2 linked regions of the Lytechinus pictus genome follow. The protein of the gene in region 1 binds, or shares a complex with, the protein of each later gene. Links are inferred from orthologs where the notes say so. Each region holds a gene or a part of one and is shown on either strand. Other genes may lie near its edges.

Region 1 (7,299 bases):
ATATATTCCATACCGCACTCTGTCGCACGAATACAACACTTACCATTAACAAAACATTTCAAATTATACGGTTATTTGTATACCGAGTTGAGTGAGAGTCGATACAGGAATCATACAAAGAGTCCTTTACAATTTTTGTTTTCAATTTGATATTTAGCTTTTATTACGAAATCGTTACGAACAGCCCGCCTTTAACAACTCTGCGCCCCCCCCCCCCCTCCTCTCTCTCTCTCTCTGTCCCCCCCCCCCTCTCTCTCTCTCTCTCTCTACCCAACAAGGTATATTGTTGGAATCATATTGCAGACAAATTAAATAATGTTGGTATCGATCCACGGTGTCGCCTTACAATAATCACTATTAAAAAAATATGGGGAAATTAGTAATATAATTAAAGAGTTTTGAGCTCTTAATTATACTAACATCTCCTTCAATCACATACATTTTTTTTCATCGATGATGCATTCTTCCGTCTGATTTATGATTGGCCTACCATTGCACAGCAAGATAGAATTATAATATATTTTGGTAGAGATATATGACTTTTTTCGAGGGAGGGGGGGCATCTCTTGCATCTGAATCAGTGGCATAATGAGCGAGCGTGCGAAATGACCTTTTTTTAACCTTTTTAAAAATTCATTTTTTTGATAGATTTAGAATTGCTATTTACATCAATTTTTTTTACAATTTTTCCTTTTCTCCTCCCCGCTATTTCCTTAGGTTCGTGAAATTTAAGGTAGCCATGGCCCCCGCCCCCCCCCCCTTACGCCAGTCGCGCATGGGACGAGTGCAGACGAACATGGCATATTGGAAGCAATTGTATTCATTGCGAGCGAGCGAAGCGAGGTGGCAATTTGTTTTTACCTGTTTAAAGTAATGATAATTATAAAGGCTGACATAATTATTTTTCATAATAACCTTCTTCGGTTCCTTCTCTTTTTTCTCCCTCCTCTTTTGGTCGCGGAACATTGCTAAAACCAATTACCCTCCCCCCCCAAAAAAAAAAAAATCAATTTTTACGCCAGTGTCGGTGTGACTGTTTGTAAGAGGGTGTGGGTTGCGTGTGTGTATCTGCGCACAGGTCATTTAATTTCACACACACTCAATGTCACATATACTCAAGAAAACATACATAAAATGTTCAAATCATTGTTTTGATGAATCGTGATGTGAGATTATTGTATTTGGTTTGTATCGAAAGTACCCATTTACAACTGCAAGATTTTTATTAATTAATTTTTTTTTTCAAATTTATTTGTACTTTTTTTTCATTTGTATGTATTTTTTCACAATTTTAATTTTGCTCATTTGTAAAGCGCTGTGATACAATCATTATGAAAAGCGTTATATAAATACTCATATTGTATTGTATTGAAATGAAGTTAATCCATGATAACATGCTGATAATAACAAATCATGATGATAATTATAATAGGAACACCAATAAGTTAACATTATCTGCAGAATATCATTACATTTTGGTCTACCTTGAAACCAGAGTGAGGGGTTTGTACATAGCACGGGCCCACACCTGAAAAGAGCACATCACCCCCCCCCCCACGGGTTTCGATCGGTGTTCATTTACTTACTTTGATTTACTTGGATGTATATAGAGACATAAAGCTATAAAGCTTATTTGTCCCTCGTCACGTAGGGTTGTCTCTGGTATGGTGAATATTTTAATGGATGGGATTTCCAGTGCCTCTCGATTGCAGATTTAAATGCATTTAGCAGAAACTGCTACTTCAGGCAAAGCATTCCAGTTATTAATGCTTCTAACTGTAAAAGCATATTGCCGTGTCTGTAATCTACATCTGTATTTCCTGAATTTCATACTATGACCTCTGGTCCTTTTATTATCATCAAGATGGAACAGGCTACTCAGATCTATCCGATCAATACCTCTTGTGATTTTGAAGATTTGAATTAATTCTGCTCTTTGCCTTCTGTATGAAAGAGTAGTATAGGGAGTCCAAAAATTATCAACCTTTCAGGGTAATCTAAATGACGAATGTTGGGAAGTAGTCTCGTCGCTCGTTGCTGTATCTTTTCTAGTTGATCTTCATCTTTTTTTAAGACTGGGGCCCAAGCAGGATTACAATGTTCTAGGGTAGGACGTACAATAGCTTTGTAGAGTTTGAGCCAGCCCTTCTCATTTAGAGCCGTGAAGGATCTCTTAATTATGCCAAGCTTGGTATTGGCTCTTTTTGTAATATCAGCGACATGTTCACTGAAGGAGAGGGATTTGTCGAACACGACTCCTAAACCCGGGGGGCCACTTACATTGACGAGTGGATACCATGCGCGACCAAAAAAACACGTAAAAGGGATGTCTTTTTCACGATAGGGCACGTTACGTACGTAACGTAATAAGGGTGTCAAAAACACAAAAATAATGAAAAAGGGTATCTATTTCGCTCGGAAAATTACGTGTTTAGGGTCGAGTTTGCGGGGATGATAAAACAAAATTAAAATGTTTTTATAAAGGATGTCCTTTTTGCCCCAACACTTCGTGTATAGAGTCCGATTTGCGCGAGGTGTAGTAGGTGGGGTCTTACCGGGGTCTTACTAAACCAAAGAAGGTAAAGCCGACGACCGAAGGACCCGTTACAATAAAACATTCCTGAACTTGTTTAGGGTTTCATTTCAGGGAATATTTGCCAAGATCGAGTATCGATTTGTTTCCAATACTTGTTAAGGGTGGCACACGCCAATACTAATTGTTAAGGGGTGCATTTTCAGAATATGGAAATTACGTGTTTAGGGTGCTTTTCGAGACCCCATGGTCGCGCATGGTATCCACTCGTGAATGGAAGAGCCCCCCCCCCCCCCCCCGGACTCCTAAATCTCTCTCTCTATCTTCTGGTTTGACTTCACATATTCCCTCTTCGGTTGGCATCTGATATTGAAAATTTTTATTCCTACGACCATAATGTACAACCTTGCATTTTGAGTGGTTGAGGGATGACTGGCAAAAATATTGATCACTGTGAATGATTTGTTTTTTCAAGTTTAAGGGGCAGAAGCTTTATGAGTGTAACATTCTAATGACCAGTTTTGGCTTAAAGATCAAAATAGCTGCAAGCGAAGCGAGTGAGCAAACATTTTCGATTTTTTTTTTTTTTTTTTTTTAAATACAAATCTATAGTTTTGTGATACATTTTGGCATACTTTGAAATATTATCATTTCACCGTTATGTTTCCTTTCATTTCCACTTCTTTCTTAGTTTTTTTGGGGGGGCATATGGAACCCTAGCCATATATACGTCTCTCCGACAGTGGGGGTTAGTTTTGAAGACCGAAGTTTCAAGTAAAATATTAGTTTTATTCCTCAATAATCAAGGCTTAGTACTTCAAAGGACTGGATCAATAATGCAAACGCGGAGCGAGCGCTGATCGAAAAACTGACCTGAAAATGAGCCATTTTGAGGACTCATTGCTTCTTCATGAAGACATGCACGTCTATGTGCATAGATCTTACTGTTTGACCGAAATAGTGGAAATTTTAAAATATCATAACTTGCTATTCCTTGTCCGAATTTCTTTAAATCATATTATTACGTCATAAAGTAAAACGCAAGACTTAAGAAAAATTGTCACGGAAGTGCTGCCTATCCCTATTGCCCATTCTTCTCTCTACTGCTTCTGCAAGAGAGACCCCAGCTGTAGGTCCTATGTCATTGTCAACTAGATCCGAGCCGATCGACCACTTTTTCAGGTACGAAATATCCTTAATTTGTGGTTGAAAACCTGTTTTTCCTGTCAAAATTTTCCTCCAAAAATTTGCCCCCCCCCCCTTTGGAAAATCCTGCAATCGACCATTCCACGTCTAGCCTCTAAGAACTGTTTCAGAAAATAAGTTATCACAAAAAAATTGCTATAAGAGTTTAAAGCTAATGAAATCATTCAATTTGATTGGTTGATAGACGGATAGTAAACTTGTTATAGAAGTAATTGTTCTTATAACAATTCTCTTTCAGCGGGAAACGGAACCCTGTCAGGCGAAGAAGTACAGTCAAGCCCATGTAATTAGTATACATCTCTATGGTCAAGCCTCAACAAGTCGCTCGCTCGAATATAGGGAGGCGTGACGTAATACAGCTGACTATGAAGTGCCCAAATATTATTTCCATGATACTTGCGAGGTATGATGAGAGTGTATAGAAAGATTATCTTCAAATAAAGTATTGCATCTTAAGTTACTTTAAAGTAAGATGAGTACAAAAAGTAGTGGATATATTTATAATTTAACTTCAGGAAATGTACTCAAATATTGATGAAAAAAAGAAAATTGGCTTGTCATACATTGATTAAAGATCATTTAATTTTCCGCGCGATATATATACCGATAGAACTCGCTCGAGATCGAGGTAGATAAAAAAAAATCAGAAGGTGGGGCAACCAAAATGCATTCAAGAGGATCTTCAAAGAATAAGTCTAAGTCAGAAAATGAGAATCAAAGTCATGGAGGTTACATGTCTGAGAAAATTCGAAAACTTGAGGAGCAGTTTCGAAGTGATGCACCAACAAATAAGGAGAAGTCAGGAACGTCGACGGACATATTTCGCGGGGTCACCATCCATGTGAACGGTTACACAGGTATGTTCAGCCCGGCGGTTGTCCGAGACTCGAAATAGCTGATCCGTTGGTTGGTGGTCGGTCGCGCACTCTGCAGCTCTGACTCTGTCTCTGACTTAGCTGAGCGCAAGTGTATGCTTGACTGCTTGTGAACTTGTGCCTTGTGGAGGTATTAGATCTAATATTAATAATAGATCTAAAGTCTACCCCGTTAAAAAACCCCAACAAGCTCGAGCTCAAAATCTTTACATAGTCATAGATCCGATTAATTTTCTTAACCGAATCTGAATAGATCTAGGGCCTAACTATTATTATAGTAGGGTGTCTGGAGAAAAAAATTATTTTTCTTATTTCAAGAAAATATCACATTTTCTTTGTGAATTTGAAGAGAAATGACCTTCAGACACATTTTTGAAAAAATTCAAATTATTGGCTGCAAAAAAGAAGAATGAAATTAGGTCAATTTTCAGCATTTCTCTGCCATAGACTAGTTAAGAAATGGACACACACAAATCCAAATTTTCAGCTTCCGAGAGCTGTTATAAATTTATTATTAATGCCAAAAACTTGTCCATAAAGAGTCCAATAGGATTTTTTATGCTCTATCTGATGGTGTGATTTTTATAAAGATTTGGAAACCAGATCACAATGAAAAATTGCGACAAAGTCACAAAGTGAAAAAAATTGTGCAAAACAGAGATGTCATTTTCCCATAGAAAACGCATGGAGAAATGGCAATCTCAACACACACAAAAATAAGGGTTTGCAATTTATCTCTAAATCCTAATTCAAAATGATCATATAAACTTGTCCTTACTGTCAAAAGAAGCCCCTGAATTTTCTCTTTCCATACATGCCAAACACAAGTTAATAATCAATTCAGATCACATTTTTCTAGTAGCCTGAACTTCCCCGAAAAAATGTGCCATATTTCCCCCTAAATCAGCCTGTTTTATGCTGACACTTCTGAACAGTTTTGTTGAGCATCAAATGGCAAAGGTAAAAAATACTAGTTGCAGAGGCAAAAATGGTATTGTAAATATACTAAAAATGGCCATGGCTATAATACTTAATTAGAAGCAGAAATGGCTGAGGCAAAACTGGTAGAGGAGATGAAAAATGGCAGAGAATAATAAGAGGAAATCTTTTGAAATTTGAATTCATTTCCTAAGTAAGATTACTTTTTATTTTATGTGTTATGATAACACATAAAGTAAAAAGTAATCTTACTTAGGAAATGAATTCAAATTTCAAAAGATTTCCTCTTATTATTCACTTCTTCTACTTGAGGTATACTTCCCAACGCCCCAAATAAGAGCCAACACTAAACAGGGCAGTAGACTGTAGGCCATCACTTTTTTTTTTACAAATCTTGGTATAGAGATGACATTTTTTGTAAATAAAAGACTGAAGAAGTTAGGTTTTACTCAGAAAATCTAACTTTTGAAATTAATACCAATAGACATTTCTTAAGTTCTCTTTCATCTTTGCCTTCTTTCTTAATCAGAATAAGGATAGCTTGCCTTTGTGATGTTGACAATTCTCCTATTTCAAAACTGTATAATATCGATTCCATAAAAAAGCTTCTAAATCATTCCAAAAACATAAATAAAATTCCACTGGGATACCATCATTTCCCGGGCTCTTGTTTTTGGCCAAATCATTCAGTACTTCTCTACATTCTTTTTTAGAAATTGGTTTTTCCAACTTTTCCCTTTCTTCAATATTTAACATGGGAACACAAATTTTTTGTAGAAACGAATTACATTGTTCTCCAGCTCCAAACCTTACTTTTGAAGTGTATAACTGTTCATAATACTGCTTTTGAGCAGATAAAATATCTTTACAATTTGTAATTAACTGGCCTTCTACATATATTCCGTAACACAGCTGCTTTACATTATTCCTCTTTTCTAATCCTAGAAAGTACTCATTACTCTTTTCTCCCTTTTCGTACCATCGACTCCTTGACCTAACCATTAGCCCGGCTACTCTTTTATTGTCTATTTCTATCAATTCTTCCTTTATCTTTTCTATCTGATTAATAATACCCTCTTCTTCGCTGATGGCAAGTCTATTTTCAAGTAAATTCAATTTACTTCTTAATTGTTGTTCAATATCAGATATCTGCTTTTGTACGTTACTAGAATACTTCACACTAAAACATCGTATCTTATACTTGATCCAATCCCACTTTATTTTTGGTTCCATGGACGAATACTCTATTTTCCTTCATAACCTTAATATATTCTTCATCTAGGAGAAGTGAGGTATTTAGCTTCCAATAGCCTTTCCCTCGCATGTTTTTATTCAAACGTATTTCTAGGTTCACACCTGAATGGTCTGTGCGTAATGCACTAACAATATTCACCTTTTGAACTTTATGTTTCAAATCTCTGTTAATTAAAAAATAATCCAGCCGGCACTGAATAAGAGGTGTGTTTTGTCTCCAAGTGAATTGTCTGCGATTAATATTTCTGCTGCGCCAAATGTCGAACAATTCAAAAGGGACTATAATGTCTTTAATCCTTTGCACAACCTTTTTCTTGACCAAATGTGTCCCACCTTTTTTGTCTAGTTGTGCATCTAAAATACAATTAAAATCTCCACCAATGATAATGTTTTCCTTTCCATCCCATTCTGTTTCTAATATTTTTAATAAATCTCTATAAAACTGTACTTGTAAATTTTCCACATTTGGAGCATATAAATTTAAAATAAGAA
Region 2 (7,079 bases), on another chromosome or scaffold:
GTTTGACAATAAATCCTAAACCATAGTGAAGACTTTGATTTTTCAAGACTAATTTCAAAAGTATGTTAATCTCTATTTCATAAAACTGACAGCAAGTGGATGATGTCAAAGGTATAGGGGCTATCAAATTGATGTCAACTTTGAAAAAAAATAACCAAAAGATACAAAAGATATAGGATTTTGATATTTTTCTTACTATGCTAACTATTCTATTAGATTATATTCTAAGGATAGGGTTAACTAGGCCTGCTGTTTTCCTTTGTAATTGCAAGGAAGATATATACACGCATGACATACTTATGATGTCATGTAACAAATATTAAAGAAAAGGGACAAATGGGGACATAATTATGACATCATCAGCCATGCACATCATGACGGTTTCGTCTAATATGCCAATTCGTCCAATAGCCAATAGCTATTTTGATCTACCATCAGTTCGTCTACTCACCACATGGTCTACTTTCATTTAGTCTAATGCCATTCCCTCTAATAACACGCGTTGGTCATATAGCCATTTACCATTTGGTCTAATTGGACTAAGTGTTAAATTCTGCAAAATGAATGAGAATGAAATGGATATTAGAACAACTGGTTATGAGACGAAATGGCCATATAGACGAAATGGTGATTAGACGGAGTGATGATCGATTGGACCAAATGGTTGTAAGACGAAATGTTGATGGACGGAATGGCATTAGAAGAAGTAGACCACGGTGGTGAGTGGACGAGTTGGCAATTCACGGTCATGACAGCTTATATACGTTTTCACAATATAATGGCAAGCCCCGGTGGCAAGCTTTGACATTCGATAACTTCATCATTTCTCATTATATTTTGATGAAATTCTCAACAGCGTTTTGTTTTTTCACTATATGCTTTAATTTCAGCTTGGAGTAAAGCTTGGGATCTAGAATTTTGAATCTAGAATCTTTTAAACTCGTTGGAGCCTATTAAAATTCCCTTCATTATCAAGAAAATTATATTTCACAAAGATGTTTAATAAAGCAGAAAGTTTGATTATTTTCCAATCAACGCAAATGAATTTAATATGTATGATATTTCTTTAGTCTTGAATCTTGAATTGTATAATTCCTTTTATTATGTTATTATAAAATATGATAAAGCAAGGTATGTTGTAATATTGCTTCAATTATAATGATAGTCACACTAGCGTACCTACGGGGGGGGGGGACAGAGGGGGCAGACTGCCCCCTCCTGACGAGTCACAACCCATGCAAGGGTCATATCCCTGCCCCCCTGACGAGTCTTGTAGACTTTATTTATTCAATTTTTTTTTTTTTTTTTTTTGCTTGTCAAATTTTTTTCTGGTACGAAATCCTTTATTTGTGTTTTTTTTTGCTTGTCAATTTTTTTTCTGGTACGAAATCCTTTATTTGTGTTTTTTTTTGCTTGTCAATTTTTTTTTCTGGTACGAAATCTTTTATTTGTGGTTGAAGACCTTTTTTTTTTTTTTTTTTTTTGCTTGTCAAATTTTTTGGCGGACGGTTTTGCCCCCCCCCCCGTGGAAAATCCTAGGTACGCCACTGTATAGGCACCTCGATCGGCCCTGCCTCGGCCTATATACTGACACCCCGCATCCCCGCATAACCTACCCAGGGGCCGCGGAACGGTTTTCAAAGTGGGGGGGGGGGGGGGCTGACCATGCAAAATTCACAATCATATGGTCATTTTTACGTTTTTGTACACGTTTTTTAAAAAAAAGTGGGGGGGGGGGCTGAAGCTTAAGCTGAAGCTGAAGCCCCCCCCCCCCAAAAAAAAAAAAAAAAAAAAAAAAAAAAAAAAAAAAAAAAACAGTCAAGTACAAACACTGCCTGAAACGATTATTGGCAAAGCACGAGAAGATTGAAAATATTGCAGGTCAATGGAATAATGTATCATTGATGGTTCCAAATAATATTTACAACATTTTCATGATCCGTAAAAGGGGCAGCCCTGATTTTTCCGAACCTATTTTTGGCAATGTCCCGTACGACACATGAAAATGCAAAAGTTTATCCTACAATTTTATTTTTGATGATGCAATTTCATAATATCAGTTTCTCTATCTTTGACCCATGGGTAATTTATTTATTCCATAAGGATCTAATTACTGCCTTTCATTTTTCAATAATTGTCGTATTAAAAGTTGTCCCGTACGACACACAATTTGTATACTGCATTTAATTGCAGGATTTGGATTCAGAAACTATAAATAGTAGGCCTGTTTTAATTTAAGTAATTGATTTGACATAAAGTGAACTGAAAAAGTACTTTTTTTCTCCATAGAACATGAAATAGGTGATTCCAACCATTTTAATTGACATCATGTAGGCGTATTCTTTTGTGAATCCCTTCAGCTAAACTGGTGATTTTCATTGGTCAGAGCAGGTTAATTTCTTTGTCATTGAGCATGTTATGTTTTATATATTGTTATTATTGCATTGTAAAATTTGTTGGAAAAATGAATGAATAAATGAATGAATGAATGAATGAATGAAAAAAAAGAAAACCTTTATAATTGATTCACTCTAGCCTAGAAGATGACTTCCTCTTGCATGCTAATGTGAAATTATTATAAGATATGTAAAAAAAAGTATTTACATATCAATCATCTGTTTGGACTTCCCTTGATGATCACTAATTTTTTTTAAATACAGTATTGAAACTCCTTACTTTTTCAAGTTGTAAAAAAAAATCTGGAAAATAAGACAAACCATATGGTTTCATGAAATGCAGAAAGGTTTGAAAAAGTAGAATCGCATTTCTTTAAAAAAAAATATTTTGTGGCATTACAAGTGACAGTTGTGAGTTGTGACATATACATTTTATATGAAAACTCCCCAAATCATAACATTTGGCAGCCCCATAATTTACACAAACAGTTTCATTCATTCATTGTTTAAATAGTGTATTAGAAATCATCAATTAATTCACTAAAATAACTTAGAAAATCAAGAGGGGCCTATAAGCTTTCGATCCTAGCAGAATCTTCGTCGGAGGCAAAATGACCCACAAAACGTCACGTTTTCAGCTCGTAAAAATGCTGTGAACCATTGTACATTTCCCGTCATGAAAAAAATGATAATATATTGCTCCCGATTGTATATATTGAGGTTACTTAATTATATTGTCCTGAATGACTACTTATTAAAAGGCTTTTCATTAAAAATTAAGAATTTAGGGGCAATGCTCCCCTTCTGATTGATAAAAAGTTAATTGTTTTATTCAGGCTGTCCAGTACAACACGTAAGTGCTGTTCAACACACAAGTGTCCCGTTCGACACACAAGTGTCCCGTACTACGACACATTATTTTGTTAATGATATATTGACAAAAATATTCAGATCAGCCACTAAAAGCGGTTTCTAACATAATGAATGTCTTTAGTTTGATAGGATTATCATTATAATCAGCCCAAAAAAGTGATTGAAGAAGTCAAAGAGACATAAAGTAAGAAAGTTTGGCTTCAATTTAGAGATGTCCCGTACTGGACACATTTTGAGTGTCCCGTACGCCACAATGTTCTCGAAAATGATAATTTGCTTTATTTATTCATGAATGTTTATTTTGCTTTCTTTCATAGATGTGTTTGTTCTTGAGTAATTGAATATCAATTTGAGTTCAGTTTCAATGAAAATTATCTGTCCAATTCACAGACTTTAGAGTACAAACTTGAGGTTTCTAAAAAAGCCACCTTTTCTGCGTCCGTATACGACACATTACTATTTTAAATCTGTATTATACAGGATGTAAATTCAAGTCATGTTAAGTCTAACTGGTTTTCCTAACACTCTGGTAGTACTTGATGATCACCTTTAGTTACTGGAATACTTTTTGTTTTTCTTGTAAAAAAACTGTCAAATGTTCTCTAAATGTCCCGTACGACACACGTGTATGGAATCATGGACCTATTCCATGATGGAATCACCCCTTTTCATTTTTGGCCACGCCCTTAAATTATCAGCTGAGCTGAGCTGAGGAGCGACTCCATCATAATCCATAGCGTTAAATCAAATACCGGTACCGTACGTACTTTATTATCGCGCGCCAGATCGCAGGCATCTCCCTTCTCATGAACTATGCCTATGAAGCCAAAGGCCCTTCATTTTCTGAATAGAAGCCATAGCTAGCCGGCCAACTGTCAGAATTGCCAGAGTACAATAAGAGGTTGCTGTTCGTTTCACCAGCTCTGCCTCTGGTAAGTCAAATTCGTGAAGTTTTCGTTTTTTTGTGGAAATCTCAAACATTCACTGTCTGCAGTGTGTTCCCACGAGTTGTTTTTCATGTTTGTAAGTAAACGGGGCATTGCAAGAAACTTGCGATCAATTGCAAGTCTAAAGTTGTTTCAGTCATGTGAAATAATACCAAAGAAGAAATTTTAATAAAACTTAAGATTTAAACAAAAGAAATTGAAAGTTGATATGTCAAAACAAGCAAATGTTTTTGATATTCAATGAAATCTCCGACTGATTAAAGATGAGACGAGAATGGAGAGAATGGAAATTATTAAGGGTGCCTTATGTCATGAAATGAATAATACTTAATAGGCCAGCAGTACAGAGCACAATATTAACTTCCCAAATCATGGAAAATATCACATTGATGCTAATGAAATAGACAAGTTTTCAGAAAGGAAAGATTTTTGATTAATCTTTAAGATGATGCAACATTCAGAAAAAAAAATCATGATTTGACTTGCTTAACAGATATCAGATTGTTAAATGTTACATGTTAATGCTATTGATACAGGGTATTTAATTTCTGTTTTATTATTATTGATTTGATTATTGCCATCCTTGCAGCATGAAGGAGGTCTTAAATATTCATACAAACTCTCCCCCTCTTACCTCAAGGTACTATAGGATAGGGTCCCCCACCCATATATATAGCCATCAGGAATGAATACACCAACATTGGAAAGTTTAGAGAAAGAGATGGATGAACAGGATGACGACAATGAAAACTGGTCGTTGCCAGCATCAAGCCTTCCAGGTCAGTCAGGTTATTGCAGCTCTCATCTTGCACTGACCAGCAGTAACAATCAACTTCTATCCGGTAATTTCTTTTTCTTCATTGATATGTTTACAAATTTAATTCAATTCAGTTTAAAGTACATTATCAAGCGTGAAGCCCACTTATGATTCCATTTTTGTTGAGAGAGAGAGAGAGAGAGAGATCTATAGAGAAGGGGGGGGGGGAAGGAGGGGATGGTATATTAAAATTCATAACGTGAAACAAAAGTAGTTTCCATTTAGTTTTGACTTTGCAATATGAAAGTTCATCATACTTTGTTTCATATGCTGTTTGCACTACCATGTTTATGTTGTTTCCAGGTAATAACAATGTGAAGGCAGTAGGCAGCATGGTTTCTAGTATGAAGCTAAACACAAACAAGGCAGGGATGGAAGGCTTAGACAAAGAGAGGATCAATAAAATCATCATGGAAGCCTCAAAAGGTTCAAGGTTAGAAATTTAAAGATAGAATGACGAGATGCTGAATGGAGAGAGAGGGAGACAGAGAGAGAGTGAGAGAGACTTAGAAAGGGGAGGGGGTAGGGTAGAAGAAGGAGAGGGAAAAAAGGGGACTGAGGGGAGGGCATGGCCATATGCTTTTTACTTCTCAAGCTCTTTTGCGAACAATTTAAATTCTTTGAAATTAATATTGAATAGAGATACCTGATTAAGATGGGGAGATGTGTCCCTTCTGTTTTCTTTTTTTCTTCTTCCTTTTTTATAAATGCTTCTCTTTTGGCCAAGCTCAATTTTATCTTCATCTCATTGGGGTTAATAGGAGGATTTTACCCCCCCCTCTTTTGAAAATTATGTGATTGTTAGAATAATAATAAGATGAATTACTATAGCAAAGTCACTACACACATAAACTCTGCTGTACTAGAAGTTAGAAACTTAACAAATATAACTGTTTGCCTTTTTATCATTTGTTTTCAAAGTTGATACGATTGTATTTTTTAAAAAGTGATTATATATGAATTTGTATTCAAGTACTTACAAAACAGTTTCTGGCAGTTACAATATATAGTGTAATGACTTGAAACGAAAGAAACTATTGGCAAAGAACAGGAAAAGAAGGAAAACACAGAAGTAAAGGCTTATAATAGTATACTAAAAAAAAGAAGCTTTGTATGTTGATTGTCTTAAATCATGTATTTTTAACTTGGCTAGTAGCCCATTATGTCTATTTCAACAAATATTATGCATTGCCACTTTTCACCAGAGTCTTTCCTGTTTATTACTCCTTGGGCAACATGCCAAGTTAATTACTTTGAAAGATGCAATCTTCTGTATCATTACACTGTATATTATCATGCATTTAGGTATTATGAGAATCAGAAGAAAAGAGAGCAGCAGACGACGGAGAGGATCAACAAAATGATGGAGAAACTTTCTCGGCTGACAGAATCTGAAAAACAAGCTGCTTTGACTCAGGTGAGTTGATAGAATTTGTTTGTGTCACCTGTCTAGAAATTTCATTAATAAAACAATACCTCATGTTGTTGCATATATATGTTGTACTGCACACAAATTTCTTGGGTTTGTATATGTAGCCTTTTCTGTGTTTTAAGATTTTCAAAAATCTTATTCCAGCTAATAGATCTAGCTTCAAAATACTAAAATATCCCAAAGCCATAGATTGTAAGAACTTGATTGTTGGTATTCTCATAATAAAACCTAGGTTTATGGAATTTTTTGTATTTCTGGAATTCATAGTCAGATCTCTTTGTGATTGTGGAATTCATATGGACATTTTGCTATTAAAATCAATCAAGAATACTGAGTTTTATCATGTATGATAGAACAGTTTATATTTGTCAAATTAATGTATTCAATAATTCTTTGTGTTTATTGAATTTATTCCAGGTTGATGAAATGGTGACAGATCTGGAGCTGAGTAGAGATTTGAGCCGGACCATTGTTCATCTTGATATGGATATGTTCTATGCTGCTGTTGAAATGAGAGACAACCCTGAACTAAAAGATAAACCAATGGCAGTCGGTGGCATGGGTATGTTGGTAAGTTGTCATCATTTTTGTTAGGATTCTTTGATTGGTACATG

The links. Proteins that work in one complex are often made in the same cells at the same time.
Region 2: the proteins of DNA repair protein REV1-like (region 1) and DNA polymerase kappa-like are in contact, whole or in part, in an NMR structure (PDB 2LSI), measured with the Homo sapiens proteins. The link is inferred for Lytechinus pictus from reciprocal best matches to the Homo sapiens genes REV1 and POLK. Residues at the interface, in NP_057400.1 of Homo sapiens: Asn1158, Leu1159, Ala1160, Gly1161, Ala1162, Asp1167, Leu1171, Leu1172, Glu1174, Trp1175, Thr1178, Ile1179, Met1183, Glu1185, Asp1186, Gln1189, Val1190; in NP_001374042.1 of Homo sapiens: Lys564, Lys565, Ser566, Phe567, Phe568, Asp569, Lys571, Arg572, Arg575.

What each region holds. Positions count from the first base shown.
Region 1 is NC_087258.1:19,728,346-19,735,644, reverse strand, and holds the start of DNA repair protein REV1-like, read left to right. Parts: upstream 1-4,269; 5' UTR 4,270-4,403; coding exon 4,404-4,596; intron 4,597-7,299. UniProt on the Homo sapiens protein: Deoxycytidyl transferase involved in DNA repair. Transfers a dCMP residue from dCTP to the 3'-end of a DNA primer in a template-dependent reaction.
Region 2 is NC_087249.1:24,850,982-24,858,060, reverse strand, and holds the start of DNA polymerase kappa-like, read left to right. Parts: upstream 1-4,002; 5' UTR 4,003-4,201; intron 4,202-4,856; 5' UTR 4,857-4,901; coding exon 4,902-5,058; intron 5,059-5,336; coding exon 5,337-5,466; intron 5,467-6,338; coding exon 6,339-6,450; intron 6,451-6,882; coding exon 6,883-7,035; intron 7,036-7,079. UniProt on the Homo sapiens protein: DNA polymerase specifically involved in DNA repair. Plays an important role in translesion synthesis, where the normal high-fidelity DNA polymerases cannot proceed and DNA synthesis stalls.